4 linked regions of the Elephas maximus indicus genome follow. The protein of the gene in region 2 purifies or fractionates together with the protein of the main gene of each other region. This does not show direct contact. Links are inferred from orthologs where the notes say so. Each region holds a gene or a part of one and is shown on either strand. Other genes may lie near its edges.

Region 1 (7,846 bases), on a different chromosome or scaffold from region 2:
CTAATTAAATACTAATTTCCTCAAGGAAAATCCTCTCAGCCCTTATGAAGAGCAGGAGTGACACCTACTGCTCCAATAAAGCAGCTCTGGATGTTAGGGCCAGGAGTCTTAAGCTTTTCCGGACCCCTCTACAAATCCAATGAAACCTACAGATCCCTTCCCTGTGGGAGAAAAAAATTACATTCTTATATAAATGCAAAATTTGCATACAGTTGCAGGTGATTCAAGGATTCCTGAACTAGGAGCTCGGCTGCGAAACACAAGGTCAACAGTTTGAATCCACCAGCTGCTTCCTGGAAACCTCATGGGGCAGTTCTACTCTGTCCTACAGGGTCGCTATGCGTCAGAATCAACTCAACAACAATGGGTTTGGGTTTGGGTTTTGAGTTCAATCTATCTATTCATCTAAAATATTCAAGAGGCCGATATAATTTTGTAGATTCAAAGAGAACTTATAAAATCAAACAAAACCCAATGCCCTCGAGTCGACTGCGTCTCATATCGACCCTATAAGACAGAGCTCTATAGGGCTTCTAAAATGATAATCTTTACAGCAGCAGACTGCCACATCGTTCTCCCACAGAGCGGCAGTCGGGTTCCAACTGCTGACCTTTCGGTTAGCAGCCGAGCACTTAACCACTGCACTACCAGGGTTCTTAAGAGAGCTTACACTCATAAAAAAAAAAAGTGTTGTTGTTACTTGCCATTGAATCAGTTCCAACCCAGAGTAGCACTGAGCTCCATAGGTTTTTCAGAAGCAGACTGCTAGGGCTATCTTCTGAGCTGCCTCTACATGGGTTGGAACTTCCAATCTTTTCACTAGAACATAATGCAATTTACCTCTATCATTACAGTGTGTTTATGAGCCCGGGATTATAAATAAAATGTTGCCAGGGTGATTAAAGACCTAAAAAGTTAATAGGCTCAACTGGATGTTGTTGTTAGGTGCTGTTGAGTCCTTTTTCAACTCATAGTGATCCCATATGACAGAGCAGGACTGCCCTATAGGGTTTCCTAGGTCGCAATCTTTACAGGAGCAGATCAGCAGGTCTTTCTGCTACCAAGCAGCTAGGTGGGTTCCAACCACCAACTTTCGGTTAGCAGCTGAGCACTTAAGCATTGTTCCACCAGGGTGCCTCTCAACTATATAGTTGCCATATGTTAGAAACTTGTTTTCATCTCTATGGCTTTATTGCCATTTAAAATCACATTCTTTAGTATAGTTATTGCTATCTATAAGAAAAAAAAATTTCCATCAAGTCGATTCCGACTGACAGTGATTACTATAGGACAGAATAGAACTGTACCATAGGATTTTCAAGGCTATAAACTTCACAGATTGGACATCACGGACTTGATGTCCAATCTTCTTTTGAAGAAAGCAAAAGATCATTAAAAAAGACAAAAAGGAAAGACCAAAATGGATGTCAGAATACACTTTGAGACTTGCTCTTGCTAAAGTAAATGGAAGAAATGAAATAGAAGAGCTGAACAGAAGATTTCAAAGAGAGGCTCAAGAAGACAAAGTAATATATTATAATGGCAGATGCAAAGACTTGGAGTTAGAAAACCAAAGGTAAGAACATGCTTGGCATTTCTCCAGCTGAAAGAACTGAAAAAAAAATTCAAGCCTCAAGTTGCAATATTGAAGGATTCTACAGGGAAAATATTAAATGACTCAGGAAGCATCACAAGAAGATGGAAGGAAGACACAGAGTCATTGTACCAAAAAAAAAAAAAAAAAAAATTGGTCAACGTTCAACCATTTCAGGAGGTAGCATATGATCAGGAACCAATAGTACTGAAGGAAGAGATCCAAGCTGCACTGAAGGCATTGGTGAAAAACAAGGCTTCAAGAATGAGGAAATACCAATTGAGGTGTTTCAACAAATGGATGCGGCACTGGAAGTATTCACTTGTTCATGCCAAGAAATTTGGGAGATAGCTACCCGGCCAACTGACTGAAGAGATCTATATTTACACCTATTCGAAAGAAAGATGATCCAACCAAATGTGGAAATTATCAAACAATAACATTAATAAAACACACAAGTAAATTTTTGCTGAAGATCATTCAAAAGCGGCTGCAGCAGTACTGAAATTCAAGCTGGATTCAGAAGAGGACGTGGAACCAGGGATATCATTGCTGATGTCAGATGGATCCTGGCTGAAAGCAGAGAATACCAGAAGGATGTTTACCTGTGTTTTATTGACTGTGCAAAGGCATTCAACTGTATGGATCATGACAAATTATGGATAACATTTTGAAGAATGGGAACTCCAGAACACTTTATTGTGCTCATGAGGAAACTGTACAGAGATCAAGAGGCAGTCATTCAAAGAGAACAAGGGGATATACTTTGTGGTTTAAAGTCAGGAAAGGTGTGTGTTAGGGTCGTATCCTTTCATCATACTTATTCAGTGTGTATGCTGAACAAATAATCTGCAAGCTGTACTATATGAATAAGAACAAGGCATCAGGGTTGGAGGAAGACTCATTAACAACCTGCATTATGCAGATGAGACAACCTTGATTGCTGAAAGTGAAGAGGACTTGAAGCACTTACCAATGGAGATCAAAGACCACAGCCTTCAGTATGGATTATACCTCAACATTGAGAAAATAAAAACCCTCACAACTGGACCAACGAGCAACATTACGATAAACAGAGAAGACTGAAGTTGTCAAGGATTTCATTTTACTTGATCTACAATCAACACCCGTGAAAGTACCAGTTGAGAAATCAAATGACACATTGCGTTGGGCAAATCTGCTGCAAAAGACCTCTTTAAAGTGTTAAAAAGCAAAGATGTCACCATGAAGATTAAGGTGCGCTTGACCCAAGCCATGGTGTTTTCTATCACCTCATATACATGTGAAAGCTGGACAATGAATAACGAAGACTGAAGAAGAACTGACACCTTTGAATTATGGTGTTGGTGAAGAATACTGAATATACCATGGACTGCCATGTGACCAAACAAATCCATCTTGGAAGAAGTACAGCCAGAATGCTCCTTAGAAGAGAGAATGGCAGGACTATGTCTCACATACTTTGGACATGTTATCAGCAGGGACCAGTCCCTGGAGAAGGACATCATGCTTGGTAGAGTAGAGGGTCAGAGAAAAAGAGAAAGGCCCTCAACAAGATGAATCGGCACACTGGCTGCAACGACGGGCTCAAGCATAACGATTGCGAGGAAGGCACAGGATCAGGCAGTGTTTCATTCTGTTGTATGGAGGGTTGCTATGAGTCAGAATTGACTAGACAGCACCTAATGATAAACTTTACTGAAGAAGCCCTGGTGGCGTAGTTGTTTAGAGCTCAGCTGCTAACTGAAAGGCCAGTGGTTTGAACCTACCAGCTGCTCCTAGGGAGAAAGATGTGGCAGTCTGCTTCCATAAAATTTACAGCCTTGGAAACCCTATGGGGGCAGTTCTACCCTGTCCTATAGGTTGCTATACATTGCAGTCAACTCAATGACAATGGGTTTAGTTTTTGGTTTTGAATCTTTACAGAAGGAGGCTACCACATCTTTCTCCGAAAGAGGGGCTGATGGATTTGAACCACCGACCTTTTGTTTAGCAGCCAAGTGCTTAACCACTGGGTCATCAGGGTAAGTTACAGTATGATTTAATTTCCAAAGAGTATAATTTATAATTATGGCAGTTCTTGGAAGGCCCACCATCAGTGACTATTTTTACAGAAAATTAGTTCTTAGGCCAAACTCACACTCAAATTTGTAGATGATTGTTTTTTCAAGTAAAATCATGACCTTGATGTTTCAATGAATGAAAAATTAAAGCATTTTTAAATAAAATTTAAAAATTGCTATACTTTTGGTACCATTTTGGGTTTTTTTTTTTTCCTCTCAAAGAATATGTAGTATGCTCCGTAGACACCATCAGTGGAACTCATTATGGTTAAGAAACAGAGCCAGTCAAATGTCGAGTTAAGTTTGCAAATAACCAGCTCCATCGATTTTCCTTTTCACATATGAAAATAATTGAACAGGATTGATAACTGCAGATTCTATCTGCGTAAAAAGCAAGCCAAAAATATCAATACTTTGGCACCAATGTGTTTATAAAAATAAAAATGGTTTAAGTCTTCAATCTTCTTCCATCAGCTTTGAAAAGCTGTACCTACCTTTGCTGAAGTCACATTCATCAGAAACAGGAGTTACGCAGTTTTGAGAGACTTCTTTAAAAAACCTATTTATCTAACAGAAAATAAATTCGGGGTTTTGTCAGATCTTCCTAACGCAAAATTCCTTCACATATCACTTCCCTCAAAATTTTTCAAACGGAGACAATTACTCAGCGACATCGACTCATTAACCGTTTTAGTGGACGGTGTAAGCGGGACTGTTTCAGGCTACAACGGCGACTAAACTCTTCCAGCCAGGTAGTGGGCGGCGACTAAAGGCTTCAGCAAGGTAGTGGGATTAGGGACATAAAGCGCGGAGGCGAACCCCAAAGAGGGGAGACCTTAGAGGAGTCTTAGCGCCGACTGGGAAATCTTCGCTTTCCAGACCCTCACTAAAGCTGATTTCATAAGCTCTCTGAATAAAAAGCATTTAGTTGCCGAGCAATACAGTGCAAACAACTACGGCGCCAATGCAAAACATTTAAAGCGGCGGATAAGACAGAAAACATGCTCATTTCAACAGTTCTAGAGACAAGACAAACGCAGCCACGCTCCTCGAGGAGCCTCTGGCGCTCTGTCCCGAGACTCCGCCCCCAGAGGCGGCCCCGAGGAGAAAGGCCCGCCCCTCGTGCCCAAGACCACCTACGGACAACCAGCGCGCCTGCGCACAATTACGTCATATCCGGCGCCAGGGCGCGCGATTGCGGAAGGGGCTGCACAGTTGTGGCGGCGGCCTTTGCGTTGGTGATTAGTGTACCGTTCCTGCCGGAGAGGCGGATTTCACGGCAGCATCATGGTCGAGGTAGAGTGACACCTAGGCGCTGAGGAGTCGTTTGGCTCTGAACTGCTTTTCTCTGGCGGCGGGCGTGGGTGATAGCGTGTGTTGGGAATCTGGGGCGAGAGAGGCTGCGAGGGGAGGCTGTTTTGCCGAGGCCGGGTGGTCTCTTCTTAAGGTTTTCGGGGAGGGAAGAGGCGGGATGAGAGCACGAGTTTGAGGCGGGAAGCCTGAGATAATTTATTCAGTCCTCAATTGGCCCTTAGGAGCTGCGCCCTGTCCCCGTAGGTGAGGCTTCTGTTGATGTTCGACCACTGGTAGTCGCCGCTCGCAGGGGAGTGCCAGTAATTCTGGATCCTTAAAGACTGCTGTTGTTTTGTATCTTGGTTCCAGTTGGTCTCTTATCGCAGCTCTTCCCCCAGGAAAACCTGCCATTCTTGAGTTTTCACATCTTTTCCTAGATTGAATACCTATTCTGTTAGCAGGTCTTGTCTACCTTGTCTCAGAAATAGTTCGACTCTCTCCACTTTTCTCCATACGCGTCGCAATCACCTTCATTCAGGCCAACATCATCTTTTGCCTGGACTGCTGCATTAGCTCCCAGCTGGTCTCCTTGCTTCCATGTTTGTGCCCCCTAAATTGATCTCTTTAAAACGTAAGTTGGTCACGCCTTCCTTGGTAAAAACCCTTTGCTGGCCTTATGTTACCACTAGGACAAGAATACGGATTATTGTAATGGTTTTAAAAGACCTTACCTGATCTGGACTTTGCCTATTCTTGCAACCTCATTTTGCAACAAGACCCACCCTCTCGCCTAACGCACACACACAACTGCCCTGGAGCTCCTGGCATTATTGCAGTTACTGAGCATCTTTGTACGTGAGGGCTTCCATCTGTCCAAATTGTCCTTACCTCCCCTCTGCAGGGTAACTCAGCCTCTGCTTAAATGTCACCTCAGAGAGACCTTTCCTAACCATCCTGCGTAATTTCCCTTCTCCTTTTTGTGTCTCAGCCCTTGCTTGTTACTTTCATAGCAGTAATAAAAATGTGGGACTATTTTGCTTATTTTTATTTCTCTCTTTGTCCTTGAGCAAAGGGAGCTTGACTCTTTTCATCATTCTTTTGATAGGTTTTAGCGCAGTGCCTGCCAGACACATAGTGTGCACTGAATAAATTACTAATCTCAGGCTTTGCTCAGTTAATGTACCTGGGACTCTAGCCAAAGAGCAGCTTCCTCCTCTTTTCTAAACTTGACTCTTACAGCTTGCTACTGGGAGCAGTGGTGAGTGGTTAAAGCAGTGGTGAGTAATTTGTAGCTACATTTGCACTCTTTCTTTTCAGGAGGTACAGAAACATTCTGTGCACACACTTGTGTTCAGGTCATTGAAGAGGACCCATGACATGTTTGTAGCTGATAATGGAAAACCTGTGCCTTTGGATGAAGAGAGGTAGGCATAGTTTTTTTTCAATTGCTACAATTTTTAAACTTCTAACATTTGGGGAAGAAGGGGACTATTTAATCCTTTAAAGATTAATTAGTAATACTAACAGTCATAAGGTAGCTCCGCAGTAATGAGTGTTGCTGTAGCATAATTTAAGCTGATATAACTTTTTTTTTTGGCCTTACTGTTCACAGTAAAAATCTCATTAATTAATTGCATTTCGCAAATACCCAGTAATTAGGAGAGCCCCTTTCAGGTGTTTTATTTTATAATCAAATCACTTTGTATGTGCTTTCAGCTTCCCGCTGCTCTCAGAGCCTTGCTGAGCTGAAATTGTACCTGGCCAGTACCTCTCCTCCCACCTTTTCTCGTTAGTATGATGAAGATTTTTGAGTGATGGCATATTTTTGGTTCTACATCTCCAGCTCCAGTCTGGGATTGCATTATGTGCAGTGTTCCTTCTTTGTCCTACCCTTCGTTTAGAATCTTAATTCCTCAGACAAGCATTTATGTTCGATTTATAAAGTAGACTATACTTAAAAATAATACAAGTGTGCTTCTCTTTAAAATGTTGAACTAATTAAGTACTTTGATTAGTTCTAACTAACTTTAGATAAATCCAATAAAAATTGTTATAGAAGCTTTTACTGTATTTTTACACTGGAAAGAATTTATCAGTCTCTATATTTTTTTTCATATATTTTTAGATCAATTGGACTCTTGGTATCTCAACATGAAAGAGTTTGTATTAGGTAACAAGCTAAAATACTGCTTAGACTTCATGGATGCTATGTGGTAGAATGTGAGCAAAAGTAAACATGATATGGAAATGCACTTAGAAATTTTTGAAGTTAAAGTTAAAATGGTATTTATTTAAAATCTTAATAGAAACTTTTTCTACATGGCTAGGCAAACTTAAGTTATTTAAGTACTTGTTCTCAGGCTAGCTATAAACATTTGCAGTGGTGAATATATTTAAATTATTTAAAAATATGTTCTACATTTATACTTTTTAAATAGTCACAAACGAAAGATGGGAATCAAGCTTCGTAATGAGTATGGCCCTGTGTTGCATATGCCTACTTCAAAAGAAAATTTTAAAGAGAAGGCCCTTCAAAATGCAGCAGATTCATATGGCAACAAACAATATCCTGCCAATCAAGGTGAGTATGGTGTTACCAGAAATACCAGGAATCGAAATGTTTTTTTTTAAACTAGAAAAATAAGATGTCTTGTTAGCACTCCTTGTAGAAGAACTAATTGAAGCCATCCAGTATTTAATGGCTATATTAGAATTATACTGAAAATCTTGATTTCATCATGAGACTAGTGATTGAGATTATCAGTTGGTGGTTTCTCTCTTATAGGAAGTGAAAGTGGTAGTATAGTAATGGCAGACATTTTGAAGTTGTGGAGAAGGTCACAGTGGAGACCAAAGGAAAAATCTGGAGAATAGTCCTAAACTATGAAGAGACCAT
Region 2 (7,573 bases):
TAACCGCTGCTATTTATCATTGCCCTCATTGTGTCAGGCCCTGTGCCAGATGGTCCCTCAAGATGCATTCACTCAGATTTACAGAACACCTACTATGTATCAGGTGCTGCCCTCAGTGCTGGGGATACACTGATGAATAAAACAAGACCCTGATGTCATGAGGTTTATACTCTATAATTGTATCGTAACCCTCCCAAAATCCTGAAAGATAAAATACTAAAATCTCCACCATACAGTCACGAAAACCAGGACTCAGAGTGTGGGCAACTTGCTGGAGGTCACATGGCTAGTAAGCAATGAAGCTAAGTTTGAAACTCAGACCTGTGTGACTTTTACACCCAGGTGCCTCCTCCCATATCATTCTGCCCCTCGAAAAAGATGACGATGCTCCAGCCTTCCCACTCCCTAGTCCCAGTCCAGGGATCCATCTCTTCAAGTGGGGAAGACATTGGTTCCCTCTGGGGAACTCACCCACTCATCCTGCAGAGCTTTCAGAATGGCCGGGATGCTGGTGGCTGAGGGAGGCTTGGGCCGGATTGGGTGAGCAACTGCCGAGAGGGAAAGTGGTATGAAGAACCCTAACCCAGCAGCCTCTTACCGTTCCCCACCTCTTTCCCCCTCAGCCTGAATTAACAGACCACCATCGCCTCTTCCAATGCAAAGGCACCACCTCCCACCCTCTCAGCCTCTGAACTGAGGCAGCTCTGGCCTGAGGCTGACCAGTGGGCACCTTTGATGTCGATCAGCTGCTCCTCAGACAGAGGCTGGTTGTTGATGGGGTCTGTGCCGTTCTCCGCAATGTACTTCTCAATGAGCCTCCGCTCATAGACATGATTGGAGACAGGGGACACACACGGGTGCTCTGGCACTTCATTGGAGACTGCAGGGAAAAGGCAGGCAGTGAGCGTGGGGTCAAAGGGAAGCCTGGACCAAAGAAACCCCTCACCCGCTACTGGCCCCAATAAGGCCACATGTCCTCACACTGAACCAAAAGGAAACAAGACCTGTGTCCCCAAGCCAGTTTTGTACTGTCCCCAGAATGCTTTCCAGTGACATAAGGAGCTTCTCCATCAGCAGTCTCCTGATAGTCAGGTTTTCGACAAATATTCACCGCAGAGCTACAACATGCCAGGCACCCTAGGGAGTAGTCAATAATCCCTGCCCATCTCATTTTTAAACAAAACTGGTGGTTGTTGTCGTGGCGGTGTGCCATCAAGTTGATTCCGATTCATAGTAACCCTACAGGACAGAGAAGAACTGCCCCATAGGGCAGTTTCCAAGACTGTAATTTTTATGGAAGCAGACTGCCACAGAACAGCTGGTGGGATTGAACAGCCAATCTTTCAATTAGTAGTTGAGCGCTTAACCACTGTGCCACCAAGGCTCCTTACAAAAATAGCTAGGCATCCATTATACTCCAGGAGATGGAGACATGTATGAAGCCACTCAAATCCCTGCTGTCCATCTCAGTCTAGAGCCCTAGGTAGGTTATCGAAGAAGATACAAAGCAACGAGACAAGTACTATAATAATAAAAAACATTTATGTGGGGTTTGCTAGGTGCCATGCATGATTCTGAACATTTTACATAATCTCATCATCATTTACACACCTGCCCTGAGTAGACGGTGTGCCCTAGAGAAGAGGGATTACAGCTGGTCTCTGACTCCCAGTAGGTGCACATCCCAAAGACGAAGGAATGAATGCATGGGAGGAAGGACGGTGCTGGAGCACACAGAACAGAGCTCTTTCAAGGGTCAAAGAAAACACTGGATGTGAAAATACTTTGCAATTTCTTCAATGTAATTATAATTCCCTCCGTGTAAGGTATTCCTTTTCCTGCCCATTTCCCTTTTTACTACCCTTCTTTGGATTTAAGGGAGAGGTTCAGGAAAGAGAGGATGGCTTAAAGGTAGGAAGCAAAGAGAGAAAGGGGTGGGAAACTGGTAACCTGATGAAAAGATGAGAAAAGAAAATGGGAGCATGACACAATAAAACACCAAAAGGAAAGGCAGTATAAGGCATGGAAAAGCATGGATTTGGGGTCGGGGAACCTGACTGTCACCCCGCACTGCCACTTACTAGCTGTGGAACCTTAGCTAACACTCATCCTGGGCTTCCCTTCCTCACCTGTAAAGCTAGGGTCTTTATTTCTGCTTCGGGAAATTCTTGTGAGGATAAAATGAGATCACAGACTTGGAAGCACTGCTGGAAACCATGAAGGGCCTCATAAATAAGCACTGTTTTTATTCGTGCTACAGTGTGAGAGAGACCTGGCTTCCAGCCCTGTCTCTGCCTCTAACTCACTGTGTGACCTTCGCAAACTCCAGAAGCTCCGACTGCCCAAGCGCGACCTCAGACAGCATCCAGTGCAAAGTCCTCATTTTGAAGATGGGGAAACTAAGGCCCAGAGAGGGGTCGATCACAAAGCTAATCGGAGGCGAATTCTGAACGAGCCCTCGGCTCCCCTGGCTCCTACGCTAGAGAGGCTTCCCCTGCACCAACTCCCTCTGTCCAAGCCTCTGTAAAACCAAATGGTTGGCCCCAAGGAGCCCTGAGACGACAAATCTGAGGCGCTGTGTAAACTGCGAAGCTCTGCGCAAATGGACCCCGCGCGGAGGACGGAAGGTTCCCGGTGCTGACAGGCCGCCGCTCTATCGCCCGGGAGCCCCGTTCCCGCCTCCTCCAGAAGCCGGTGTCTCAGCAGCTGGCGCATTCTCCCGCTCCGCTCTCCAGCCTCCTGCAACCCACGATCGGCCGCAGGCGCTACTCACTTGAGCAGATCAGAGACATGGCGCCGTCACTGCGCTCCGAGGCGCCTCACACCGGGCTCCGTGACTGGCTTCGGAGCCGCCGCGGGCCACTTCCGGTTCCCCGCTGCTTCCGGACGCTCCGCAGCGAGCGGGGAGCACCCCGCCGAGCTCTGGTAGCGTAGTGCTTCACGTGGGTCTGGGGCAGGTGGCGCGCCGCAGCCTTCAGCAACTAACGGAAACTGCCCCTTCCCAGAATGCAACCGGGCAGGAAAGGGCCCGCCACAGAACACTCGGCTATTTCCGGATTAACTCGTCTCCTTCCGTAAAGTGCCCCAGGGAAAAGGCGGCGTAAAACTACATTTCCCATGATGCAGTGGGACCGTTACATCCAATGTGTTCCTGCACTCCTTTTGAGACGCGGTAGTGTCTGTGTTTTCCGAATTTTAATGTGCACAAGAATCTCTTAACGAGCTTATTAAAATGCAGATTTCTAGGGTCTGTCCTAGAGAGTCTGCATTTTAATTTAGCGCCCAATAAAATTGAGGCTGGTGTTTCTCGGGCCGCCCTTTGAGAAAATACATGCTGGGGGAATCCGATGAAAATGCAGATGAGTAGGGGAACTAACAATGATCAAAAAACGGTTTTAGTACTACTTCTGTTACCAATTTGCTCTGTGACCTTAGGCAAGTCACTAGTTTCTCTGCCGGTTTTCTACATGACTTCTAGGTTGCTTCCAGCTCAGGTAGTGTAAGATTCTTCGTTGACCTCTGTAAGATAAGATATACTCAGGAAAGATGTAGAGAACGTGCGCCGACTCGTGTGGGCTACGAGGGAAGACAGCAGGACGGGTAGATGTGGTCACTGAAGTCTTCCCTGAAAAGGCGTGAATGAGCTGGGCTTTGACAAACGGGCAATATTCAGAGAAAGGAGAAAGAAGTGAAGGGTATTCTAGAAGGAACAGCATGAGCAAAGACGGAGAGAAGAACAAAAGTTGCAGATATAGGGCAGTAGGGTATAGCGGCCAAATGCATGGACTCTGAAGCCAGACTGCTGAAATCCCAACTCCATCCAGCTAGTATGCTGTGTGAACTTCTCTAAGTTGTTTCCTCATTTGTAAAATCGGGGAAGTGAAAACAAGGGTAGAACTAAGTTATAGAGTTTTTTTGTGATGAGTTAACAAACAGCACTTTGAACTAACCCTGGAACATAGTAAGTACAGTATACATATTCATGTTTGTCATTATCTCAAAAGCCAGCAAGATTGCCCAAGCTCCCCTGAACTGATAAAATAGCTTCCTAGTAGCATCTGGGATCTTAAAAGCTTACCAGCTGCCATCTAAACCCATTGCTAATCTAAGATACAATTATTAGTCTCTTCCTGTCTGGAACAAAAGAGAGTGAAGAAAACCAAAGGCTCAAGGAAGCAATTAGTCCAAAGGACTAACGGACAACATGAACCACAACTTACACGACCCTGAGACCAGGAGAACTGGATGGTGCCCAGCTACCACTACCAACCACTCTGACTGGGATCACAACAGAGAGAGGGTCCTGGACAGAGCCGGAGAAAAATGTAGAACAAAAAATCAAAATTCACAGAAAAGACCAGACTTACTGGTCTGACAAGAGACTGGAGGCACCCTTCTGACCTGAAACTGAAGCCATCCCTGGAGATCACCTTCCAGCCAAGCAATAGACAAGCCCATAAAATAAACAATAGTATCTGAGAGGAATGTGCTCCATAGAACAATCCATTATATGAGATCAAAGGGCAATATTTGCCCTAAAGCAGAGATGAGAAGGCAGAAAGGGATAGAAAATCAGGATGAAAGGTATCGGGGAAACCAGGGTGGAAATGGGGAGAGTGCTGACACGTTGTGGGAAATAAAACTAAGGCCATAAAACACTTTATGTACGAACCAGCAGATGGGAATCTAATTTACTCTGTAAACTTTCACCCTAATGCACAATTAAAAAAAAAAAAAAAACTTCCTGATTGACCTTGTTTCCAGACTGGCCTCCCTCTAATCCACTTTCCACAAAGCAGCCAGTGATCTACTTTCAGTGAAAAATCTATTTATGCTACTCCTCAGGCATTTAATTCGTTCAACATATATTGATTGGGGTGTGTCAAGCTCTGTTCTGATCATTGCAGATACAAATGAATGAACAAAATGACAAGGTTCCTGCTCTTATGGCTGTTTAATTTTATGGAGAGCATGCAGAAAATCAACACCTAAGAAGATAATTCCAGAGAGTGGTTGTTGTTCTTGGTTGCCATCGAGTTGATTCCGTCTCATGGCGACCCCATGTGTTACAGAGTAGAGCTGCTCCATAGGGGTTTTTTTGTTTGTTTGTTTTGCTGTAATCTTAACAGAAACAGATCACCAGGTCTATCTTCTGCAGCACCACTGGGTGGGTTTGAACTGCCAATCTTTAGGTTAGCAGTGGAGTGCGAACCATTTGCACCACCTGGGGACCTGGAGAGTGGTAAGCACCATGAATAAAACAAATCAGAATAAGGTGAATAGTAGCTGCTGGGCATCGGAGGGAGGACTTCTTTATGCAGGATATTTAGGGAGGGTGTCTCTAAGGGGGTGACATTTTTACTGAGACCCGAATGAGGGAAAGCAGTCAGTCCCAAGACCAGGAATGAGTGACTCTGGCAGAAGAAACTTGCTCCCAAGCCCTGTGCCATCTGGCCCAGGCTGACCTCCACAGTCTCTCCAGCCACACTGGTCTTTTAAATCCTCAAATTTACCCACCCTTGCTTAGAACACTTTCCTCAAATCCTTCCCTTCTTCCCCTCCCCCCAATGCCCTCCAATGTAAACTTCAGTCCCACCTTAGATGTCACTTCCTCAGGAGGCCTTTTCTTTAATATCAGGCCAAGGTTTAGCCCCCATAAACCAGTTGCCAGTGAGTCAATTGTGACTCATGGAGACCCCATGTGTATCAGAGTAGAACTGTTTTCCATAAGGTTATCAATAGCTATGATCTTTTGGAAGTAGATTGCCAGGCCTTTCTTCTGAGGTGCCTCTGGATGGATTTGAACCACCAACCTTTCTGTTAGTAGCTGAGTGCTTAATTGTTTGCACCACCCGGGGCTCCTTTAGTCCCCATAAACCCAACCCAACCCATTGCTGTCAAGTCGATTCCAACTCATAGCGACCCTATACGACAGAGTAGAACTGCCCCATAGAGTTTCCAAGGAGTGCCTAGTGGACTCAAACTGACAACCTTTTGGTTAGTAGCTGTAGCACTTAACCACTATCCCACCGGGGTTTCCTTATCAGCCTCTAATTCTCCTCTGAGCCACTTGAGATAACTATAATCATTTAACTATTTATAATTATCTGTCTGATGTCTGGATTCTCCATAGCCTGTAAGATCTGTGATGACAGGAACCAGGGTGTCCTGTTCTCTGTTGTTCCCTGAGTCTAACAGTGCCTGGCACATAGTAGGCTTGGCACATAGCAGGGGCTTCATAAATACTATCGGTTGAATGACAGGCTGCCTGGCGGGCCAGGCGTCTCAAGTACTTAGATTTGGTAGGAAATAAAGTGGGTTAGTAAGTGGTTAGACTTGTGGGCTTGGCAGCAGAACAACATCTGATTGCATTTGAGCTACCAAGTGACCTAAAGATAACCACATTTCCAGAAGTTTCCTCTGAAAGGCACTTACTAGATGGGTTGGAAGGGGACAAACTGGAGAGGAAAACACATTCATTCCTTTAACGGACAAATCTTTATTGAGCACCCACTGTGTGCCAGGCAAGAGACATCCCTACACTGGGGAGCTTATGGCTGTGACATCAGAACACAGGAAAAAAGGAGTCCCTTCAAAGCTTTCAGAGCCCTGGTGGTACAGTGGTTAAAGTGCTCTGCTGCTAACCAAAAGGTTGGCAGTTTGAACCCACCAGCTGCTCCACGGGAGAAAGATGTGGCAGTCTGCTTCCATAAAGATTACAGCCTTGGAAACCCTATGGAGCAGTTTCACCCTGTCCTATAAGGTCAGAATGAGTCAGAATCTATTCAACGGCAACGGGTTTTGACTATACTATATGGCAATGGGAACGGGGTTATATGCCAAAGGGCTTTTTCAAGGCTTTTGGGTTTCAAAAGCCAGCCCCATGGGAAATAGAAGGAATTCAGGGAATAGACAATTGACTTAAATATCATGGGTAAGTGCTTGATCTCCACACCACCACCACCCACTTTGTCCTCCCCACAAAGGAGACAGGTATTCCCTAGTCTGAAAACGGAGCTTTAGAGGGAAAGAGAGAGACTCATAGCTGTTGGTAGGTCCCTAAGAAAGGAATCCTGATCCCTGTTCTTCAGGCCAAGGCTGTTGCTGCTCCTTGGAAAAGGTAAGTTCACATTGGCCAATAACCCAGAAGAAGGCTGGGCTCCATTTCCCAGGTAGACTCAGTGGCAACCTGTGTAGACAAATGAGAGGACGATGGAAGCCTCAGGAATTGACAACTGGATGCACACCTAGGGTCATATGAGCCTCCCCCTCCCCTTTGGCCATATGCTAATCTTCCAAAACGTGTGCACAGCATGAAAATCGGGGATGGGAAAAGTTCTAAACTGTCTGAGATTATTTCCACTCTACCCCAATGGAAAAGAGAGTTGAAAAGAAATTAATTTTTCCTAGGAAGAAAGAAGTTACATTTCTTGCACAGGAAAATCTGTGACCTGAGATTTAGGTAGTCCTACAAAGCAGCTGAAAGAACCGAAGAAAAAAGTCAAGCCTCGAGTTGCAATATTGAAGGATTCTATGGGGAAAATATTGAATGAAGCAGGAAGCATCAAAAGAA
Region 3 (7,579 bases), on a different chromosome or scaffold from region 2:
TCTGAAGTAAAACGTAACTTTAGAGGAATATATTTTACCTTCTCCTGTCTCAAGTATTAGTAAACTCGTTACTGTTGAGTCGATTCCAATTAATAGCAGCCCTATAGAAGAGAGAACTGCCCCACAGGGTTTCCAAGGAGCAGCTGGTGGATTCTAACTGCCCTCGCCTTTTGGTTAGCAGCCAGGGCTCCCAAGGATTAATAAGTTATACTCAATAACAAATCAGCCCCATGTAAAAATGAGTTAATAGTAAATCGATCAAAACGATAAAATGATCGTTGACTCAAATTGGTTCCAATAATCCATATTTCTAGAACCCACGCACTGCAGTGAAGGAGAAACATTGTAGGATTTAACACAACTACCTTAAAATGGGAGACACTAGGAGGGGAATTAGATGGTGGTGTCGTGGAAGGTGTGGTGCAAAGAACTAAATCTGGCTTTCTGTCTATGGTTTTTGAAAACAGACTGAGCAATTAAAGTGCTCTTTGTTTTTTAAAATAGCCAGGCAAGTAGGGGCTACATACACAGGCCCCATACCTGGCAAACTAATTTCAGGAAGGAAGGGGGCAAGACACAATCAATCCTACATATCCACCGAGATCCCAACGGCTAGAGGACCCTGGGCTTGGGGCTGTCTTTTCGGGGCTTCCAGGACTGGTAAGAACATCATGCACAGGGGAGGAGCAACATGTGCCTGGAGAAAAGGGAGGCCGCGTACAGGGCCTCTCCCAGAGCTTGCCAGATGCGTCACTACACTGGTGTCCTGTCTGGTTATAATAAGTGGGTAACTGTAAGTACAGGTAATAGTCTCCATGAATTTTGTGAGCCATTCTAGAGAATTAACCAGCTCATGAGGGTTAATGGGGGTTTAGTGAGAGTTGGCAGAGAGGCTAGAAGGAAGAGTCCTAACTTGTGGAGACTCAACTCTTGAGCGGTTAGGGTCAGAGAGAGAAAGGGGCATGTGGGTGGCTGGTGTTGAAATGATGAAGTGGGAAAGTAGGGCCATGAGTTAGCTTCACATTTTGGAAATTAGCCCTATGTTATCCACAAGGAAGGGAAGGAGACTTGTTTCTCACTTCATATGGTTCTCTAACAATTTTTTTTTTACATGTGCATGTATTACCTACTCCAAAAACTAAAACACAAACAACTGACCCATACCCAAAATTGGAAGAAAAAAGCTGGGAGGCAGCCTAAAAATTTTTAACTGTTGAGGTTATGTACGATCATGAAGTGGAGGACAACGTTAGGAAGCAAAGACACTGAAAACCTCCAACTTGGCTGGGGAGAGCTAGTCACTCCCCACTGAGCAAGGGGCACTGCAATCTAGGGAGACAGCGGAGCTAGGTCAGCAGATGTGGTGGCTTCGGGTCTTCCAGCAATTCCTCAGTCCCTTGCTGACGTGGGGATTAACGCCCAGGTGTTCTGAGGCAACAGAAGCTGTTAAACCCTTGGAGAAAAGCCTGTTTACCCCACAGATCAATCAACCCTACTACTGCTCATCAACTAGCTGAAAGGAGTCATCTGGGAAAGGCTCAGAAATGGCGGCTTCATCATCTCCCACAATAGTTTTCCAGTGCCTGAAGCTTATTCTGTGCTATAATCTCTAGATTAGGCAGCTGACAACTGCAGATCCTATGCAACGACTTTCAACCACAAGCAAGGTAACAAAGCCAAGTGGCCAAGCAATTAGTTGTTTTTAATCATGTCTCTCTCTTCTTTATTCTCAAATACTGGGACTAGGCTGATCCCTCTCTCCTTTCACTTAACAAACATTTATTGAGCCAGTACTATATGAGAGACACTGGGAAGGTATAAATGTGAAAAACATGACATGGTGTCAACAACCTAGTGCCTGCCGTCCCCCCCGCCGCCCCCCACCAAGTATCCCACTTCCCAAACGACCTGGACAGTCCAGGCCCTCGAGACTGTCTACACTGGAAATAAAAGTGGTAACTCGTGAAATGGCAATTCCTGGCTTAATGGGAATTAAAAAAAAAAACCACAACTGACGAGTCGATTCCAACTCATAGCGACGCTATAAGACAAAGCAGAACTGCTCCACAAGGTTTCCAAGGACCGCCTGGTGGACTCGAACTGCCGATCTTTTAGCTCGCGGCCGAACCCTTAACCACTACGCCACGAGGGTTTAGTGTAGACCAACCAGCAGCTTGAATCTAAGCAGCACGGGTTAGGTCTTGGAGGGTAGCAGGGCAGGTCTAAGGCCCCACCACTTGACCCTTCCCCTAACTCCCAACCATAAACCTAGAAAGCCTGGTTTTAAGAGTAGGTTGTTAGAGCCGACGGAATGCACTCCCCCGGTCCGTGCCCCCATCCCCGCACACACACCCCCCTACCACTACACGTCGCTCTGCAGGGACCCAAGGGGGACCGAGGTTGGACACCCACCTGCGGGCAGGCCGCCGCTCAGCACAGAGGGGGGCTGCAGAGTGTACACTGTCTTAACTACGCTGGTCATCGTAACGAGGCGGCACGGCTGGACCCTGGAGGATGCAAGGGTGGTGTCAGCTATCAGGCGCTGGGCCGCCCGCCCCAGCAGGGCCCGCCGACCTAGCCGGCAGCCGGGCGCCCAAGCGGGCCGAGGGTTCGGGGCGGGCGCGACCTGACCAGCCCCGGCTCTGGGGAGAGGCCGGGAAAGAGAGGACCTCTTCGGGATGACCTTTACACTTGATCCTAGCCAAAAGGCCGAGAAGGATGAGTGGGAGTTAACCAGCCCATTCCGTCCGCCCCCCACATTCAGCGCAATCCCTTGTCCCAGGAGAGCCGAACCCGGGAGCCCGCCGCTCCGGCCTGCAGTCCTCCTCGATCTCGTTCAAAAGACGCTCTGAAGTAACTGCCGCACCCGGGACCGAGTCCGCCGCCTCCGTTTCAAATGGAAACTTCCGGTAGCTGGGCGGGAGGGAATGAGATTCGGCTTCCGTAGGCAGCCATGTTGTACGGAAAATACTATCCTGGCCTATGGCTTCAGGAGCTGCCATGCTGTACGGTAGATTCGAGTAGAGGCGGGAGACTGACTTTCCCAGCCACTGGTGTTGGAGCCCGCAGGTCTCAGCGGGGTGCACTTTACTGGCCTGAGTGGAGCTAATGAGCCACCCGCGTCATGTTCTGGGCTTGGGACACAAACGTGGCCACGTTGAGAGTCCATGTTGTCACAATCCTTATTATTTGGTCTGTGATTATTAAGGATATATTATTGCATGATGTCTGATTACGTAGAGCACAGGTTATTTGGATTCGAAGAAAGCTTCACGTTACAGGGTGGAGAATGGCAGGTGAGACTTGGAGAAAAGCCTGTGGACTGAAATACCTGAGGCACCTACCTGCAGTCCTAACTTTAATGGCATTTATCCAGATTTTAAGCAGAGATTCAAAGCTACTTCTAATAACGGGGCAGAGTTCTCAAGCACTTAACGCATTCACTTATTCATTTCACTCAACAAATGTTTATTGAGTACTTGCTGTGTGCTATGGAGCACAGCCACTATCCTAACTGGGTGAAGGGACAGCAAAGTTCAAGAGTAATCTTATGTCTGCCCTTGAGTTTACAATCTAGTGCAGGAAATGGTAAATAAATATATGTACATATTTACCAATTGTGGTAAAACTATGAAGGAAAAGTACAAGGTATTATGAGAGAGAATAGCAGCAGAATCTAGTTTAAATTGGGCGATCAGGAAGGACCTCTCTGAGGTGATGTTTGATTCAGGAAGGATTAGTGGGAGTTAACAAAATGAATACAGGAGAGAAATACAAACCCTCAGGGCAACAATAGGGTTTTCTCCTTTTTTTTTTTTTGAAACATTTTATTGTGGTTTGATTGAAAGTTTACAAAGCAAATTAGTTTCCCATTCAACAATTAGTACACATTTGGTTTTGTGACATTACTTGCAATCCCCTCAATGTGACAGCACTCTACCCCCTTCCTCCGTGGGTACTCTGTTTCCATTAGCCCATCTTTCCTGCCCCTTCCTGCCTCCTGAACTTTGTTTTTGGACAAATGCTGCCCTTTTGGTCTCATATGGTTGATTGTCCTAAGGAGCAGCATATTCCTCACAGGTGTTATTATTCACTTTATATGCCTACTGTTTGGCTGAAAGGTGATATCTGGGAGTAGATTCTGCTCCAGGTTTCAAAGGGTGTCTAAGGGCCATAGTCTTGGGGTTTCACCAGTCTCAATCATACCAGTAAGTCTGGTCTTTTTTATTAATTCAAATTTGTTTTACATGTTTCTCCCACTCTGTCCAGGATCTTCTACTGTGATCCTGATGAGAGTGGTAGGTAGTAGTAGCTAGGCACCATCTAGTTCTTCTGACCTCAGCCTAGTGGAGGCTGTGATTCATGTGGTCCATTAGTCTTCTGGACTGTTTCCTTGAGACTTTTATTTTCTTCACTCTTCTTTGCTCTGGACAGAAAGAGACCAATAGTTGTATCTTTTAAGATCCTAGACGTTACTCACTACAGTAGGATGTAGAACATTGTGGACTATACTATGCCAATTAACCGAGATAACCCCCAAGAATATGGTCCTAAGTCCTCAAGTCCAGTGACCCAGTCCTTCAAGGTGTTTGGTTATGGCTAAAAAGTTTTCATAACTGTGCCCCCTGTGCGATCTACTATATATATGGATATAGTTGTAGTAAGTACAAATACATATGTAGAAATATCCTCTGCCCAACGTATATATGCTCCTGGGTGTACTCCCATATACCATCCCACACCTGTTCAGCTTACATTACTCCCTATATATCTACTCATAAATTATTGTTTGTTATTACTGTTTTTGGCAGGATTGTGTATGAAATAGTATTTACTGTCGTTTCCTTTTACTCTTGCGTTCCTCCCAGCATCCTCTTTGCCTTGGTCATGTTGTGCTGACATCCCCCTTTATTGTGTATTGCGTTTCCCTTCACCCAAGTTACTACCTTTCTACTATCTAGTTAGTGATTTTCCCTGTCTCCCACTCCCATTGCTGGTAACCATCAAAGAATGTTTCCGTGTTATAAAAATTGTATGGTAGAGGAGTCTGACTTCCTCTAACTTCACAAGGGAGGAGAATCAAAATCCATAGCCCAAGACTGATTGCTACGAGGCAGAGGTCAGACATAACCTCCTCTCCAACATTTTACCAGTTCTGACATCAACTATTCCTCCCACATCACTCTCTGCTTCTCTGCTGGGTTCAAAAATTTGTTGCAATGGCCACACAGAACTCACAACGATACTCACAGTTATGGGATTTATTAGGGAAGTAACACGTTATAATTCAAGTTCAGTTTCTTCTCATCTGTGCTCACAGACACACCTCTCTTTGGCCCCTCTGCTCTAGGCCAGCCTTTGTCCAGCTCAGGCAAGTGTTACAAAGCTCTTTTAGTTCTCCCAATAAGTGCCCAGAGGTACCCCACTCAGCCAGTAAGCATCAGCCTGAAGACGCTCAGCTATAGCTCCCTGGGTCTGCAAACCAAGTTCCACCAAGTGCCTGGAGGCACCCTATTAGCAAGCCTCCTGCCAGAAAGTGCTCAGCTTTCTCACTCCATGAGCCGGAAAACCCACCACACCATCTCTGGCCAGCCTCCTACCTTTGTTGCAGCCATTCCTGTGCTGCTGCTTCTTGCCATCTTCAGTGTTACAGCTCTCTCTCCTCATCTCCTGGTTCCAGGAGCTTCTTAGCATAGGGATCCTGGGTTCAAATGACATTCTCCACTCCTGGCTTTTCTTTCTTGGTGGTGGTGAGATCCTCCCTTCCCTCCACTGGGATGGCTCATTTTAAGCCTAGCAGTATGGCAAAACTGACCAATGTCCTCATTAGGGTTCCATACACCCTATATTCATGGTCCCATCCCCACAAGGGTGCCATGCCCCTTATTTCCATTATTAGCAAGCTATCCAATCCTCTTGGTGGGTGACAAGTGTTATCGCAATTTCGCGAGTTAGAGCCGCCTGCCCCAAATAGCCAATTCTTGAGACAGGGGTGAGGTGGGTAGCAAGAACTTTATTAGATGTACCGGTGTATGGAGACAGAGGGGAATGATCTCCTCCTAAAGTCCTCTGTCTCACCAGACTACCGATGGGTTCCGGGTTTTTAAGGGAAAAGGGGCTATAAGTTTTAGGGACTTGTGGAATGTGCACTCTCTTTCTTCTGTTTGGTTTTGGTGGTCCTTTCTCAAACATGTTGCTGTTTTCCTGCCATCATCCCATCAGCTCAGGGGGTAGCTGGCGCCATCCTTCATCTTATTAGACAGGCTTATATCAATATCACTTGTTTTCCACAGTCTTAGAGGAAACATTGGTTAACACTTAACCATTTGGGGAGCTAACATCAGGATCTTACTTGGAGACAGGGATGGGCTAGGGGAGGGAAAGGAGAGAAAGAAGAAAGAAGGAAAAAAATTGGCTCAGGTTCTGTTCAAGATATGGCTGAGCACTCTGTTTCAATTCCCCCTTTTTGTTGTAGGTTTCTCAATCTTGGGAAACAGGGCGCCATATCTCTAGCTGCTTCCTGTTGGATGGGGGCGTGGAGGCCTAAGGGTTAGAGAAGTGGAACTCTTGTGTTGTCTGTGTTAAATCACTGTATCTCTCTTGTATCTATAAACCAAGCCAAAACCAAACCTAGTGCCATCGAGTCGATTCCAACTCGTAGCAACCCTATAGGACAGAGTAGAACTGCCCCATAGAGTTTCCAAGGAGCGCCTGGCAGATTCGAACTGCCGACCCTTTGGTTAGCAGCCGTAGCAATTAACCACTACACCACCAGGGTTTCCCTTGTATCTATAAAAAAAAAAATAGTGGCCCTTTATTAGGCTGTTGCCTCTCTTCTTCTTGGGTGATGGGTTGAAATTTCTGACCAACCATCGTTTGGAGCTGGAACTTTTAAATCACTTGAAATGACTCTACCCTTCCGGGGAGAAGGCACCAACTCATTAAGGCATACACCGAGACACATAAGCTTGTCTGGAGACAGGAACAACACAAGCAAAGGTTAAAATAGAAATTAGTAAAAGGGCTAGAGCGAAACAATTCTTAATACTTCTATATTCCTTATTTTTATGATACTTATTTACTGGTCTTTGTTTTGTCTCTTGAATAGCCACTTAAGTCTTTACACTGGTTCATATATTTTTTAAAAAAGGCAAAAGTGGGAAGCAGACAAGGGTGTTGTTGGAGTCGTGTCTTTTCAAGTCTTAAGAATACAGGGTATAAAATGAGCAAAACCATTGAAAGCTTTACTTTTTCACAAACTGGAAACTGTAATCTCGTATCTTGAATCATCATTCTTAACGATCATTGATACAGGTTTCAGTAAAGAGAGTCAGGAGGGTCTTCATTGGTCTAACAAATTTCTATTCATTAGATGTTAATAGAAAAAGGTAAGAGTGGAAAGTCTTTTGTGTTCTGGCTTATGTGAAAGGTTCTTTAAAAGACATTTTCTGAGATTATCCTATTTATTGTCTTTATACCTCAGGGCCCAGTTGATGTGTCCCTGTGAGTCCTTGTAAACCCAGCTCCAGCTGGGTCACATTCTCTATGCTCAAGGACAAGGAGTAATGACTCTAATATT
Region 4 (7,920 bases), on a different chromosome or scaffold from region 2:
TTGTTGGTGAGAATGAGTTCTGTCAAACAGGGGAGAGACTGATCAAGTCCCTCACCTATACGGCTAAAATAAAAATAATGGCTCTTTTAATAAAAGTGAAAAGTCAGTAGGCTAATGATTGATCTAAGTCCTTATTCCCTCCGAGGGTTTCAGACTCCAGCCTTGGAAGGAGCCGTGGGGATCCTTCTTCCAACCCCCTATCTGATGGGGAAGTGAAGCACAGGGAGGAAATCATGCTCAGGCTCTGAGGGCAATGGCACACTGGGATGACTTAGAGCCCATGCCTCCTACAGCTGCCTAGGGCTCTTTCCATTTCTACAGCTCCCAGTGAAACCTAGGAAAACGAGAGAGTCCTGAGTAAAACATACTACCAAATAGTCCTCTTCATAACTTTTCTGTGTGTGCACCACAGAAATTCACAATTCTGCATTCATAGCTCAGCTACAAGGCATACAACTATATCATAAGTGAATGGTTAATTTATGAGAAATGTGCCTATCTGAAAAAGCCAAAACCACACCACACAGTACTTCCTAAAAACGTTATCTACAGACTTTCATTAACTTTTTCCTATATTTGCACAGAGCCGAAAGACAATCAAAGAAGATTTCAGTTTAAATAAATGAGTAATATTCTAGAAATCAGGTGTAGCTAAATACAGACAGAAGAAGACACGAAGTGAGAGAGATACTCAGCCAAATCAGACACTGACCATATTCTGTTATTGTTCACCAATAATGTTTTCAGTCTTCTCAACAGAGGAAAACCATCCAGTTTCCTGATTTCATTGTCAGAAAAATCAATAGCATCAAACTGGTCTAAGGTAGCACCTAGATTTTCAATGACAGGAATTTTGTAACCTGTAAAAGGGAAGAAAAAGAGAGAAAGAAAAAACACAAAAGGTTATCACACTATCATAATTAAAATGCACCTTGTAACATTAGCAACGTTTCATGGTAATTTGACTCAAAGCTTTCATTCACTGATGAAGTGTTTACCTAGCACTTAGGATGTGCCAAACGTTGTGCTAGGTATTGGAGTTAAGATGTTGAACAAGGGAGCCACAGGCCCCGGCTGCTATGAAGCTGACAGCCTAGCAGTGGACATGGAGATGATTACGACAATGAGAATGAGGACTTACTAATAATACCAATAACTACCATTTGTAAGAATATTTACAAGGTGCTTCCCACTATTCAAGTAGCGTAAGTAGTTTTAGTCATTTTGACCCACAAGTTAAGTTTTAAGTTTTTCGTCCATTAAAAATGAGATGAAGAAATGGAGGCTCTATGATTTAATTAAGGTCCTAGAGCTAATTAAGTGGGGTAACAGGAATTTACACTTTGAGCTACCAACTATCAGTGTCCGACCCTTGTTCAAACATTGTGGACAACAGTTCTCAGCCTCTTTTGCATTAACACAGGCCAGTCCCCTAGAACTCATCATGACATCATGGTCCCTGCCCCTAACTGTAGTGATTCTGACAGGTGTGCAGTGATACTGCACTCCTGCTTTAATTTGTTTTTCTCTAATAACTAATGAAGTTGAACACCTTCTCATGTGTACTGTTCATTCCAACAACTTCTTTCACAAAGTACACAGCTCCACTTCACAGTTGTTTATACACAATGGTAAATCATACTGTGTAACAATTTGCTCAAATACTCACTGACTTGTGGGCATAATTAGGTGCTAGAAAAAAAGAAATAAACCCAGCTAGAGATTTACGGCCTTGGAAACCCTATGGGGTCACTATGAGTTGGAATCAGCTTGATGGCAGTAGTTTTTTTTTTTTTTTAGAGTTTAAGTACATAATTCAGAGCTGTTAAGAATTACACCAGAGTAGATACTGCCGTGTATATTCTCAACGACAACAATAAAACGTATTATTGTTTTTTAAAAAGGTAAGTATTGCACCAAAACAAGTATTCTCAACACTGGGAGAACTTCAGAAACAGAAGGTAGAGATCCACATGCACAAAGATAGTGGAGGTGGTGAGTTACCACTGAACTGAGCCTTTGTCTAAAGAATGGGAATTTCAACATAATGAAAGCACTGGAATTTCCCAAAAGTTCGGCAAAGAATCTAAGCAGAAAGGAGCTGAGCCAGAGCACTGATGCTCCCCCGAGGGTGTCCTGTGCGGGCAAATCTCAGACCAGGATTGGAGAATGGTGATCCCCAGAGAAGCTGCTCTTCACATCCCTTCTAAAGCCATCTCCTGAAATGCCAACTAGTTAACTCGAGCTCCCCACTTCTTGAGAAGCCTAACTAGGGGTGAAAGACCCGCAGGGATCGGAATAGGTCCACGGGCTTCTACCACGTACACCACGGGATTCAGTGAAGGGGCCAGGCCCTGCGGCGGTGGTTAGAGAGACCCCGGAGCAGGTCAAACAGTTCAACACTTTTTAAATGTTTTGACAGAAGGCAAATAAAGCTAACAAGAAGACTGGAGAAAGGGAACAGTGGCTTTGGTTCCCGAACCTTGCTTCCTTCCGCATAAACTAGGGATAACGAGCGCGCATGCGATCTATCCTAACGTATTTACTGACAAGCGATCCCGCTCGCCCTCCACCCGAGTCGGACTTGCCCGGCCCTCAGGGTCCCGACTGCCAGCCCCGCCGCACACGGCCTCACCGGGGCCCGCGGGGACGGCTCAGGACGCACCTGATTCAGCCGGGTGCGTGCGAAGAAGCGGGGTCGACGGACACCTCGGGGGAGCCTACTGCGCGGTCTGCTGGGCGGCCGCCGGGCTGTCCCAGCGCCCAGCCCGGCCTGGAGCCCAGAACGGCGGCGCACGCGGCGGGGCGCGACCGCGAGGTCTCCGTGCCGCCTGCCCGGTCCCCGGACTCACCCCGGAGGTCCAGCTCGCGGTCCCGCACGGCGTTGGTGTACTGCGCCGCCTGCTCGATCAGCTCCGCCGTCAGCTTCACCATCCTGCCGCCACCCGCTTCCCGGCGCCCCGGCCCGCTGCTTCCCGCCGACGAGATCTCCCAGCGTGCCCCGCGCCCCGCCGCCAGGCAGCACCGATCGCAGCCGGCGCATGCGCGCGCAGCTCGTCGGCCAGGCCGAAGCAATCGAGAGGCCACGCCCGCGGCTCGTTCTTTCCGAAGGTGCTGACGGGCGTTGAGGCCGTATCCGGTTTGGGGTTACTTCCTGGGGCGTAGCTGTACCATGGAGGGCTCCTGGTTCCAGGCGTTTGTGCCCCATGATCATAAGCGGATGATCCAGCTCAGGTGCTCATACTGTGTCCCGGCCCGAAGCCCAGCACCAGGACAGGGACCTTAAGCCCTGGACCCTTCCCTGAATCCCGTGGGTCCTGTCCCTCCAGCTACAGCTGGCCTCACGATATACACACTGTTCTCATGTGTATAGTGTTCTTTCCAATTGCTTCTTTCCTGAAGTGTCTATTTCCGGTCTCTCTCTCTCTCTTTTTTTTTTTGGCCCCCATTGGGTTGTCTGCCTTTTCATTATTGATTTGTGGTTTTTTTTGGCCCCCATTGGGTTGTCTGCCTTTTCATTATTGATTTGTGGGAATTCTTTATATATTCTGGATACGAGCACACTCTGTGGCGTGTCTTTTTCACTCTTAATGCTCTTTTTTGATGATGAGAAGTTTCTAACTTTTATGTAATCCAGTTTATACTGTCGTTTATGATTAGTGGGTTGTATGTGTTTTGCTTAAGAGATTTTCCTCACCCCCAACATATTTTCCTATAGCATCTACTAGAGGCTTACTTGATTTACGTTTCACATTTAGCTCTACAATCCACCTGGAATTGATTCTTTCAGAACTTTTTATTGAAGTGTGATGTACCTACAGAACAAACAGAGTACACCTAAACAGCTGACATCCAGATCAAGAAACAGGATATTACCACACCCTGGAAGCTCCCCTCTTGTCCTCTTCCAGTCACTAACTACTGTACTGGGTTGATACAGCCTCCCCCCACCATCCAGAACCTCAGAATGTCATCTCATTCAGAAGTAGGGACCTTGCAAATATAGCCAAGTTAAGATAAAGTCGTACTGGATTAGGGTTGGCTCTAAATCCAACACGACTGGAAGGAAATTTGGACACAGACACAAAAACACAGAATGCCGTGTGATGACAGAGGCCAAAATGGGAGTGATATCTATGAGCCAAGGATTGCTGGCAACTACACGGAGCTAAGAGGAGACAAGGAAGGATCCTCCCTAGAGCCTTTAGAGAGACCATGGCCCTACTAACACCTTAATTTCAGAGTTCTAGCCTTCAAAACCATGAGAGGATGAATTTTTTTTTTTGGAGAAAAATGGGTTTAGCATTTTAAATAGACGTTATTTTTAGAGATGTTTTAGGTTTACAAAAACAGGGTTCAGAAAATAATTTGAATTTACCCATCCCCTCCCCACATTGTTTCTCCTATTAATATCTTGCATTCCTGTGATATATTACAATTGGCGAACCAATACTGATACATCATTATTAACAAGTCCATAGTTCACATTAGGGGTCAGTCTTTGGGTGGCATGATCCCACAGGTTTTTAAAAATTGTGGTAAATATGCGTAACAAAATATTTGCCATTTTAACCATTTCAAAGTGTACAATTCAGTGATTTTAATTAAATCCACCATGTTGAGCAACCATCACCACTATTCATTTTCAAATGGTTTTCATCCCCCTTGTTGTTGTTGTTAGGTGCCGTCTAGTCGGTTCCGACTCATAGCGACCCTGTGCACCACAGAACGAAACACTGCCCGGTCCTGTGCCATCCTTACAATCGTTGTTATGCTTGAGCTCATTGTTGCAGCCACTGTGTCAGTCCACCTCGTTGAGGGTCTTCCTCTTTTCCGCTGACCCTGTACTCTGCCAAGCATGATGTCCTTCTCCAGGGACTGATCCCTCCTGACAACAGGTCCAAAGTATGTAAGATGCAGTCTCACCATCCTTGCCTCTAAGGAGCATTCTGGCCACACTTCTTTCCAAGACAGATTTGTTTGTTCTTTTGGCAGTCCATGGCATATTCAATATTCTTCACCAACACCACAATTCAAAGGGGTCAACTCTTCTTCGGTCTTCCTTATCCATTGTCCAGCTTTCACATGCATATGATATGATTGAAAATACCATGGCTTGGGTCAGGCGCACCTTAGTCTTCAAGGTGACATCTTTGCTCTTCAACACTTTGAAGAGGTCCTTTGCAGCAGATTTGCCCAATGCAATGCGTCTTTTGATTTCTTGACTGCTGTTTCCATGGCTGTTGACTGTGGATCCAAGTAAAAGGAAATCCTTGACAACATCAATCTTTTCTTCGTTTATCATGATGTTATTCATTGGTCCAGTTGTGAGGATTTTTGTTTTCTTTATGTTGAGGTGTAATCCATACTGAAGGCTGTGGCCTTTGACCTTCAACAGTAAGTGCTTGAAGTCCTCTTCACTTTCAGCAAGCAAGGTTGTGTCATCTGCATAACGCAGGTTGTTAATGAGTCTTCCTCCAATCCTGATGTCCCGTTCTTCTTCCAATAGTCCAGCTTCTCGTATTATTTGTTCAGCATACAGATTAAATAGGTATGATGAAAGAATACAACCCTGCCGCACACCTTTCCTGACTTTAAACCAGTCAGTATCCCCTTGTTCTGTCCGAACAACTGCCTCTTGATCTATGTAAAGGTTCCTCATGAGCACAATTAAGTTTTCTGGAATTCCCATTCTTCGCAGTGTTATCCGTAGTTTGTTATGATCCACACAGTCGAATGCCTTTGCATAGTCAATAAGACACAGGTAAACATCCTTCTGGTATTCTCTGCTTTCAGCCAGGATCCATCTGACATCAGCAATGATATCCCTGGTTCCATGTCCTCTTCTGAAACCAGCCTGAATTTCTGGCAGTTCTCTGTCGATATACTGCTGCAGCTGTTTTTGAATGATCTTCAGCAAAATTTTGCTTGCATGTGATATTAATGATATTGTTCTATAATTTCCACATTCGGGTGGATCACCTTTCTTGGGAATAGGCATAAATATGGATCTCTTCCAGTCAGTTGGCCAGGAAGCTGTCTTCCATATTTCTTGGCATAGACGAGTGAGCACCTCCAGCGCTGCATCTGTTTGTTGAAACATCTCAATTGATATTCCATCAATTCCTGGAGCCTTGTTTTTCACCCATGCCTTCAGAGCAGCTTGGACTTCTTCTTTTAGTACCATCGGTTCCTGATCATATGTGACCTCTTGAAATGTTTGAATATTGACTAATTCTTTTTGGTGTAATGACTCTGTGTATTCCTTCCATCCCCCTACCCATTTTCAAATGGTTTTCATCTCCCTAAGCAGAAACTGCAGCCCAAGTGGTGCAGTGGTTAAGTGTGTGGCTACTAACCAAAAGGTCCGTGGTTCAAACCTACTAGCTGCTTCTTTTGAGAAAGATGTGGCAGTCGGCTTCTGTAAAGATTTATGGCCTTGGAAACCCTATGAGGTAGTTCTACTCTGTCTTACATGCTTGGCATTTCTCAAGCTGAAAGAACTGAAGAAAAAATTCAAGTTGTGAGTTGCAATGTTGAAGGATTCTTTGGGGAAAATATTAAACAATGCAGGAAGCATCAAAAGAAAATGGAAGGAATACACAGTCACTGTACCAAAAATAATTGGTCGACGTTCCACCATTTCAGGAGGTAGCATATGATCAAGAACTAATGGTACTGAAGGAAGAGGTCCAAGCTGCCCTGAAGGCACTGGCGGAAAACAAAGCTCCAGGAACTGACAGAATACCAATTGAGATATTTCAACAAACAGATGCAGAGCTGGAGGTGTTCATTCATCTATGCCAAGGAGTTTGGAAGACAGCTACCTGGCCAAACAACTACAAGACTTGATCCATATTTGTGCTCATCCCAAACAAAGCTGATCCAACAGAATCCAGAAATTACCAAACAGTATCATTAATATCACACGCAAGTAAAATTTTGCTGAAGATCATTCAAAAGCAGTTGAACAGTACATCAGGAGGAAACTGCCAGAAATTCAAGCCAGGTTCAGAAGAGGACATGGAAGGAGGGATAGCACTGCTGATGTCACCTGGATCCTGGCTAAAAGCAGAGAACACCAGAAAAAAGATGTTTACCTGTGTTTTATTGACTATGCAAAGGCATTGTTGGACTGTGTGGATCATAACAAATTATGGACAACATTTCAGAGAATGGGAATTCCAGAACACTTAATTGTGCTCATGAGGAACCTGTACTTAGACCAAGAGGTAGTCATTTAACAGGACAAGGGGATACTGCATGGTTTAAACTCAAGAAAGGTGTGTGTTAGGGTTTTATCCTTTCACAATATTTATTCAGTCTGTATGCTGAGCAGATAATCTGAGAATCTGGACTATCTGAAGAAAAATGTGGCGTCAGCATTGTAGGAAGACTCATTAACAACCTTCGATATGCAACTGATACAACCTGGCTTCCTGAACGTGAAGAGGACTTGAAGCACTTACTGATGAAGATCAAAGACCACAGCCTTCAGTGTGGATTACGCCTCAACATAAAGAAAGCAAAACTCCTCGCAACTGGACCAACGAGCAACATCACGATAAATGGAGAAAAGATGGAAGTTGTCAAGGACTTCATTTTCCTTGGATCCACAATCAATGCTCATGGGAGCAGCAGTAAAGAAATCAAGTGACGTATTGCACTGGGCAAATCTGCTGCAAAAGATCTCTTTAAAGTGTTAGAAATCAAAGATGTCACTTCAAGGACTAAGGTGAACTTGACCCAAGCCATGGTGTTTTCACTTGCCTCATACACATGTGAAAGCTGGACAATGAGTAAGGAAGACTAAAGAAGAATTGATGCCTTTGAATTATGGTGCTGGCAAGAATATTGACTATTGCATGGGCTGCCAAAAGAACAAACAAATCTGTCTTGGAAGAAGTACAGTTCAAATGC

What was found.
Region 1: the proteins of PRPF19 (region 2) and PLRG1 purify together in Homo sapiens (affinity purification with mass spectrometry; 8 studies listed by BioGRID and IntAct, counting the BioPlex papers as one, with this or other methods). This does not show direct contact. The link is inferred for Elephas maximus indicus from reciprocal best matches to the Homo sapiens genes PRPF19 and PLRG1.
Region 3: the proteins of PRPF19 (region 2) and KNSTRN purify together in Homo sapiens (affinity purification with mass spectrometry; 4 studies listed by BioGRID and IntAct, counting the BioPlex papers as one, with this or other methods). This does not show direct contact. The link is inferred for Elephas maximus indicus from reciprocal best matches to the Homo sapiens genes PRPF19 and KNSTRN.
Region 4: the proteins of PRPF19 (region 2) and SNRPA1 fractionate together in Homo sapiens (co-fractionation; 3 studies listed by BioGRID). This does not show direct contact. The link is inferred for Elephas maximus indicus from reciprocal best matches to the Homo sapiens genes PRPF19 and SNRPA1.

What each region holds. Positions count from the first base shown.
Region 1 is NC_064831.1:28,400,086-28,407,931, forward strand, and holds the start of PLRG1 (pleiotropic regulator 1), read left to right. Parts: upstream 1-4,838; 5' UTR 4,839-4,944; coding exon 4,945-4,953; intron 4,954-6,267; coding exon 6,268-6,374; intron 6,375-7,388; coding exon 7,389-7,531; intron 7,532-7,846. Other genes in the region: FGB (fibrinogen beta chain), read right to left, coding at 4,152-4,172. UniProt on the Homo sapiens protein: Involved in pre-mRNA splicing as component of the spliceosome. Component of the PRP19-CDC5L complex that forms an integral part of the spliceosome and is required for activating pre-mRNA splicing.
Region 2 is NC_064825.1:124,020,338-124,027,910, forward strand, and holds the start of PRPF19 (pre-mRNA-processing factor 19), read right to left. Parts: upstream 3,008-7,573; 5' UTR 2,793-3,007; coding exon 2,774-2,792; intron 881-2,773; coding exon 731-880; intron 549-730; coding exon 472-548; intron 1-471. UniProt on the Homo sapiens protein: Ubiquitin-protein ligase which is a core component of several complexes mainly involved pre-mRNA splicing and DNA repair. Required for pre-mRNA splicing as component of the spliceosome.
Region 3 is NC_064828.1:15,636,007-15,643,585, reverse strand, and holds the start of KNSTRN (small kinetochore-associated protein), read right to left. Parts: upstream 3,003-7,579; coding exon 2,794-3,002; intron 2,508-2,793; coding exon 2,413-2,507; intron 1-2,412. UniProt on the Homo sapiens protein: Essential component of the mitotic spindle required for faithful chromosome segregation and progression into anaphase.
Region 4 is NC_064831.1:93,106,363-93,114,282, forward strand, and holds the start of SNRPA1 (U2 small nuclear ribonucleoprotein A'), read right to left. Parts: upstream 3,006-7,920; 5' UTR 2,935-3,005; coding exon 2,853-2,934; intron 861-2,852; coding exon 713-860; intron 64-712; coding exon 1-63. UniProt on the Homo sapiens protein: Involved in pre-mRNA splicing as component of the spliceosome. Associated with sn-RNP U2, where it contributes to the binding of stem loop IV of U2 snRNA.